Linked DNA regions of Xenopus tropicalis. The protein of the gene in region 2 interacts with the protein of the main gene of each other region in a biochemical or structural test. Links are inferred from orthologs where the notes say so. Each region holds a gene or a part of one and is shown on either strand. Other genes may lie near its edges.

The links.
Region 1: the proteins of atr (region 2) and atrip form a complex in vitro, tested with the Homo sapiens proteins (4 studies listed by BioGRID and IntAct, with this or other methods). The link is inferred for Xenopus tropicalis from reciprocal best matches to the Homo sapiens genes ATR and ATRIP.

Annotation. Positions count from the first base shown.
Region 1 is NC_030680.2:123,905,907-123,910,002, forward strand, and holds the start of atrip (ATR-interacting protein), read right to left. Parts: upstream 2,801-4,096; 5' UTR 2,653-2,800; intron 2,626-2,652; exon of another isoform or gene 2,601-2,625; intron 2,590-2,600; exon of another isoform or gene 2,565-2,589; intron 826-2,564; 5' UTR 807-825; coding exon of another isoform or gene 627-806; coding exon 437-626; intron 1-436. UniProt on the Homo sapiens protein: Required for checkpoint signaling after DNA damage. Required for ATR expression, possibly by stabilizing the protein.
Region 2 is NC_030681.2:119,633,067-119,636,566, forward strand, and holds part of atr (serine/threonine-protein kinase ATR), read right to left. Parts: intron 2,631-3,500; coding exon 2,537-2,630; intron 2,444-2,536; coding exon 2,318-2,443; intron 1,754-2,317; coding exon 1,544-1,753; intron 1,380-1,543; coding exon 1,266-1,379; intron 998-1,265; coding exon 882-997; intron 328-881; coding exon 207-327; intron 1-206. UniProt on the Homo sapiens protein: Serine/threonine protein kinase which activates checkpoint signaling upon genotoxic stresses such as ionizing radiation (IR), ultraviolet light (UV), or DNA replication stalling, thereby acting as a DNA damage sensor.

The sequences.
Region 1 (4,096 bases), on a different chromosome or scaffold from region 2:
GTTGCTCTTCACTAACATCATCTGTCTCTTTTTATGCAGTCAGGGGACAGATTTTGACTGATAGGTAGGTCTAATACAGCCTTGGGGGTGGCTCCCATTCCTAGCAGATGTATTAGAGCCAACGCTTAAATAGCTGACCCCAGCACAAACAAAATCTAAAATAACCGACTCTGGCATACATCCTTCATGTAGAGAGACCTTTAAATCAAATTCTGACTCTTGCATGAAGAGAGACGGATACTGAGAAGGGGATAATGAAGTGTCCCCTGATTATTTCAGAAACAGGTCAGAAGTTTTAACTGATTATATTTAGAAAGTTTCTTATTTCTGTGAGATGAAGCTTATATTAAAATTTCATTTTTGCTATAGTTCCCCATTAACTAATCACTACAAGGGATTAGATATTTCTATTACTGGAATTCAATAAATGACTTACCTTTTTCACTTCTGTGTGATAAAGAATGTGGCTTTGTGGCATTTAATGTATATGCTGGCTGGTTATTTATAAATGTTTTTTGGATACTTGTTGACCCAGTGTCCTGCGTGTAAGCCTGTGATGCAAGGATGTCAATCTCCTCCAGGTCGTCAGCTGTAAAATCTTCATTGTCATCAAAAGGGTCGTCCATGGCCTTGTAGTCAACATTTGCTGCTCTGTGACGCTTTGGAGGAGGATACCTGCTTCTGTCATAGCTGGTGCTCTGGGCACCTTGTGGAATACTGAGAGAGGAGCCGACTTGTGCACACGCTGTGTTGTACAATATGGAGCTTTCCCTTTTCTTATTAGCAAACAAGGGGTTAACAGACATAATGCACCAATAAAAGGTCCTGTGATTGAAGAAAAAAAGCAATATTAGAGAAGAGAACATGTGAACCACAACCGGTACCAGTCTTGTTTTGCGAGTCATTTTTATTAAAGAACAGGAAAAGCGTATTTTGCTGGGGGGTGCCAAGATATTAGGCACCATCAGTGAAATAGATTGCTAAATTTATTTCCTAGGCTGGTGCTCCTATAAAAGGAAAACTGCACCAGCCTGTGGAAAAACCTCCCTAAGCACTGCACCAGCATTTTACTTACCTTCCTACTGGCATCCCAGAGGTCCCAGGCATCCAGTGGACCTCTGGGATGCCAGTAGAAAGGTAAGTGTACAAGTCAGCTCTGGCGCTTAGGTATCTTTTCCAGGACCTAGATTAGCAATCTATTACACTGGGGGGAGCCTAAAATTTTGACATGTTTTTGTATGAAGTGTAGGGGAAGGGGCCTGAAACATGTTGTGTATGGTGTAGCAATAAAAGCACTTTTTGCAGCATTATTGTGCTTTTTTGTGCTTGCCTCTACATTCTTTCTTGGATTGATATTAGCAGAGAGTGCGGCTCTATTGTTTGGCGGTAGATGCATAAAGTCTTGAAGGTTGAGCACAGGGGACCTATCTACTTGATCATTGCCTAAAGGTGCCCATACACTATAAGATCCGCTCGCTTGGCGATGTCGCCAAGCGAGTGGATCTTCACCCGATATCCCCACCTACGGGTGGGCGATATCGGGTAGCAAGTAACTTTAAAAAAAAATAATCCTTTGGCCCCAGGGCCAAACGATTGGATTACATTTGTGGTTATGGGGCAGTCGGTTCGGGGACCGCATCATGAGCCGATGCGGTCCCCGATCCGACTGGATTTTCTAACCTGGCCGATCGAGATCTGGCCAGTTTCAGGCCAGATATCGGTCGGCCAGGCCGCTCTGTTCTGCCCATACACAGGCCAATTAGCTGCTGAATCGGTCCAAGGGACCGATATCGGCAGCTATAGTCGGCCCGTGTATGGGGACCTTTACACAGACAGCACTTGAATTAAAGCGCAGTCTACCTTTCGGGGCATTTTTTTTTTGCACTTTGCACACTGTGTGGGACATTGTACATGAGGCCCATTGTCATGCAGCCCCACCATCCCCTTGCTGCACTGTGAAGTTATGATTTCTGGTACCTGAAGTCTGTGCATCACTTATTACAGAAACCAGAGGGACATCATATCCCAGAATATATCACGTCACAATGCAAGGTTATGGAGGGGTTGCATTAAACTGGGACATGGAACTGGTCCCATGGAGCAAAGAGATACACCATCATCTTCATTTTTATCTGTAATTTAGTAAGGTTGCCTTTTCAGGGAAAAATAGCAGCCTTCCCACATTTGTATCTTTCATCCCTCCCTATTACTAACATTGGCATCAAGCATTACTTTTACTAGCAATATAGCACCAGGTGTAGCACCACAGTGTGGCCCCCGGCCCTTCACGACAGGCACAGTGTGGCCCCCAGCCCTTCACAACAGGCACAGTGTGGCCCCCGGCCCTTCACAACAGGCACAGTGTGGCACTGCAACAGGCACTGCATTTCATAAGAAGCTAATGGGGCCTGCTGCTTTCTCACAACAGGCACAATGTGTCCCCCAGCACTTCATGATAAGCCAGGTAGGGCCCCCAGGGTTCCATGACAGGTACAGTGCAGCCTCCCCGCATTGCATGACAGGAACACTTTGCCCCTAACATTTCATGGCACACAGTTCCCCACCTGCCTGAGATTGCATGACAGGCACAGGTAACCCACCAGCATTCAAGTATCCAGCTTTGTTTTACCCTGGCAACGTGAGCCCCTGTACCTGCTGAGCGCTCCGTGTTTAGGCTGCCAGGCTCCCCCTCTTTATAATGCCGAGCGCTTACAGAAAGCAGCGACAATCTTCCCAGCGCCGCTCCGCTCTCAGGCTGTGCCTAGTTCCTCATGGTGCGCAGGTGACGTCACGAACACATGAGCGTCAGGGGGACGCCCCCAACACGTGACATTCGGCGCCTTCTTCAAATGGCTCTATACACACATATACACACACACACATATATATATATATATCGGTACGTACGGGAGTGCGGGCCTCAGTGGTACAGTATTGGGTTGCGCTGGGTAGCACTTTGTGTTTGCCCCCTTTGTTGGGATAGGATTAGATGTAGGAGTTTATTCAGATCTTGCCTTTATACTGGGGCACTTGCGGTTCAGTGGTGACTGCGGATCTGTTACACATTTGCTGGTCTGTGTAAAGGGGGTTATTGGAGCCTGCTTATATATGGGGTGTTTTGTTAAGAGTGCAGATGAGTTTTGAGGTGTGTGTTTGTGTTGACTTTAGTGTTGACTTTTTTTGTGATATTTTCAGGTTAAGTGAGGTGTATGTGCTGCATATGTTGAGGTATGGGGAAGAGTTTGAGTGTGCTGATGTTTTTGCTGTGTTGGATAATTATGGGGGTGCATAAGTATTTAGATGTCCTAGTGTGGGAGGCACAGTGTGTGGTGAGATTAGACTGCCTAGGGTTATGGTTCTGGTGGGCATTTGACTCTAGAGCAGGGGTGCCCAGACTTTTTCCCCCGGCGATCTACTTTGCTCCTCCCCACGTATGTACGTATGTATGCAACACGGCGTGCGCATACCCAATAAACGCGCTGCACTTCCGCATTTCCCGGCTTAGACGCGGCCCTCCAGAAATCCACGGGGGATCGACTGGTGGACCGCGATCAACGTTTTGGCCACACCTGCTCTAGAGCAATATGTAGGGAAACTGACATATCTATCTGAGTGGGTATAGGCAGCAGGTGAGGTCTTTAGTTATGGATGGAGGGGGGTTGGAGGTGTGTAAGTAAAGCATTATTTATGATTCATAGTTGTGTGTATGCCTTGCAGTGTTTGTATACCTGACTGTGGGAAAGTGAGGCAGCATGTGTCACCCCCAGGTATGCTTCTGTCTTTGGGGGTCAGGTTAGGGCAGGGGGGGGCGATAGACCTTTCGTATCTCAGGAATGGGGGATAGGTTGGGTCAGTCTGTGTGTGCCTCCAAGGTATGTGTTTTATTGTGGGTACAATGTTTTAACCCTTTACCTGCCTAGCACGTGGGTACTACATACTGGCAGAAAAATGCTTGTGTCATGCTTCGCATTAAAGGGCTTCCTCGCTGCACTAGTGGCTTTTGCCAGCATGCAGTGAGTCAGATGGGCCCACAACCCCCTAGGCAACGAGCCATGGGAGCATCCATGTCGGTCCTTTGATGCGTTTATAGCACAGG
Region 2 (3,500 bases):
ACTAACCTGATAGAAAAGGATTTAGAATTATTTCTAAGGGTGACAGATTCCCTATCAGGGTTTAGATGGAACATTAAGGATTCACATGAATTGGAATTCTGCAAAAAATGCTTAGCATTTGGCCTAATCTGGAAGAGATTTCTGGATTCAGTGCATTACTAATAAGGTTGCTTGGAGAAAGGAAGCAGAAAAAACATATACTGTACCTTAGTTATGAGGTAACCTGCCCATGTTGCTGACCAGTCTGCAAAGTTATTGCCTAATTTGCTCAGATAAATGGGCTTTTTCACTCTGGACCAGTTTACAGCCTTTTTGGAACTCTTGTATCTATTACGTACAAGGCAAATAAAAGACCAGTAATGAAACTGTATGATTTGAGACATAAACAAGCAAAACTAGATATGTGCTATATGTTTTATATATATATATATATATATATATATATTTCTGCAGCACACATAACATTTATTGTAAGTCTGCAACCTATGAATGAGTTTCATTTACAAAAATAAAGATAAAGATAGAAAACAGCACAAACTACCACAGAACTATTGTGTACTATCATATAGACACTTGAGTTTAAGTAAACCTGTCACCTCAGAACAATTAGTTTGAATTAGAAGAAATAAGAGAAAAATGTGTGAACCATATTGGCAGCAAAGCAATCCTATCATGAAAACCTTAGGTCCCAGTGATTACTTATACCTGTATCTATTTAATGCACCCTAGGTTATTGCTTGACACTGATGACTGGATGCTTCTGAGATTCACAAAATTATCAACGTACAACTAATGAGAGGATTAAACAGAAGACTGAAGTAAAACACAAATAGTGTCAGGGTTAGTGAGCAGCCCACAGAATAGATTATATTGATTCATACCTGGTGTTAAGATGTGGCTCCAATATTTCTTGAACATGTTCTGGGAATCTCTTCCAGAGCCTACGCCCAGGACAATCAGTCCTTCCTTCTTTGCACTCATAAATAGAGAGAAGCTCCTAAAATTACACATTAAGTTTGTCATATAAATATTTGAAACATACAAGTCCAGTGCACTTGCATATACAGAATTGGGCTTACATGTCACTCTTGAGCCAAAACAATTTATAGTCATAACAGTGGTTCATGTATTTATGTAATTTATAAGGCTTTTGGTGATGTGTTTAACTTTCAGGTATATATTTGAGACAGTGGAGCATCATGGGAACATCGATCTTGATATAAATTGTGCTTATTTTTTTCTGTTCCTTTAAGACTTTTCCTTACCTGTATGGCGTAAGCAGCAGAGTCCTGGGCACGGACATTATCAGCATAGGCAAGAAATGCTCTTGTTAACTCTGTGAGCAGTTCATAGGCAAAATCTGAATCCTCAACTCCTGACTAATAATGGAGAGCAAAAAAAATTAAAGACATCGAAAAAATGGGCTAAACATTTTTCAGTTACACGTATGCCATTCTTCATCAATATAACTAATCAGAGCATATTTACTGTTTTTTTTATTTTGACTATTTTTTTTTCAAAAATGATGAAGCATTATACTTACAACAAAAGTAAAGCCCCTTGTCCCTTGTGTTTCACTGGCTGAGAAATCCAATCGCCCTGGATCTATGGCTCCAAGTTGGCCAAGGCATTCACCACAAAATAGACGGGCTTGTGGATTGGCATCTTGGCAGCCAATTAACAGCACTGTTACCAGCTGTGAGATAACTGGTTCGACAGTTTCACTGTCTGTTGAATACTGCAGCAGTTTAGCCTACAATGATGCAAACAATCACATTAAACACAGTCACATAGTAATAAATTATAAAATATGAGAACCAGAAACCACTGGGAAATGTTTGGTATCTACAAGAGGGTTCTCAAGGTTTTGCTAAGTATAAACATAAATACATGCTTATATAGTATTATTATGAATATGTAGCACCATATAACTGAGGGGATGATGTATGATGCTTGTACATTTGTCAAAGAAACCTCACAGATGGAGCACTGAACTGCGCACAACATATTACAGTTAAAGACTCTCTGCTCCTGAGACCACAGCAGTTACAGGTTCACATACAAACAGTAGCATAACTTGGTTTGCGCTAGGCCCCCCTGCATAAAAACCATCTGAGGGGGGCTTGGGGTGAACTGTCCCCTCCTCCTGGGCTGCTCACAGTGCACGTCCTGGTAGTAAGTGGTCCAGGGACAGGGGATTAAACACAGCAGACCTTGTTGGTCCAGCCCCCCGCGACTGCAGAGTCTCCTGTAGAGATAGTTACACCACTGCATACAGAAAGCACAAAAAGGCTGATGTTCTGCAAAGTCTTTACACCTGGTTCTTGTAGAGTGTCTCTTTCAGACTAGTAAGGGCATGCATGCGAACATCTACATTTTCATGCTGGATGGCTCTTATGGACAGTTGCATGGCCGTCTGCAAATCTGTGCTTTTGGTGGTTTCCTAGAGAGAAAAATAAAAAAACTGGTAACGTATGTTTCTTGGTAATGGGCAATAATATATTGAAGCCAAACGCAGCACAATATGGTGGCTTACTTTCCTGTATTCTTGCAGAACCTTCTGAATTTCTTTCAATTCTGGATGATCAGGTAGAAAATAAATTTCATGAAGGAAATCCTGAACAGCAACCCTGTATAATGCATAAACTATGTCAATATATTTCTCTTCTTTTTTGGAGTGGCCTTAAAGTGATACAAACACTAAAAACTATTCTTCAAGTTACCTATAGGTCTTGTTGATCATTTTTTGTAGATACTTTTGGTTACTTACGGGGATACTGTCACGATTTTTATGGTATATATTTTATTTCTAAATTACACTGTTTACATTTTAAATAATTTACTTTGCAATTTAAATTTGTATTCTTTTAGTTGTAGTATTGTTGTGAAGGTGCCAGCACTAAAGGATAAAGCTACTTTCAGACACGCTATTGTTTCTCCTGCTTAATGTACTTTCAATACGACCGAAGTCACATAATAGCTAAAGAGTATCTCCTGCTTGGGTGCTATTATCATGTCTACCACAAGGTGAAGCTAGTGAGTGCACTTAGCAGTGCAAACGTTTTGTGAATTCATTCTGAACTCTCGAACAAGCTAAAACGGTTGAGGAGAGCGCCTCATACGTATGCAAATAAGTCATAACAGGATTCTGGGAAGAAATTCCTTAAGGCTCCTAGAAAAGACCCATTTACATGGGCTTGTCCCATTTACATGGGTTTATCCTATAGGCTAAAGCTCACCCACTGGGTTTAAAGCAGAAACCAGGATAATAGCTGATCAGATTCCCAACTACAGACCGGTTTCGCCCTTCTTGGGGCTCATCAGTGTAGTGCAGGGTTTTCTGATCAGCTTAGGTAGAGCCAGGAGTGGGGATTCACGAACAAGCTGAAAGGATTGAGGAGACTGCCTCATACGTATGCAAATAAGTCATAACAGGATTCTGGGAAGAAAAGTCCCATTTACATGGGTTTATCCTATAGGCTAAAGCTCACCCACTGGGT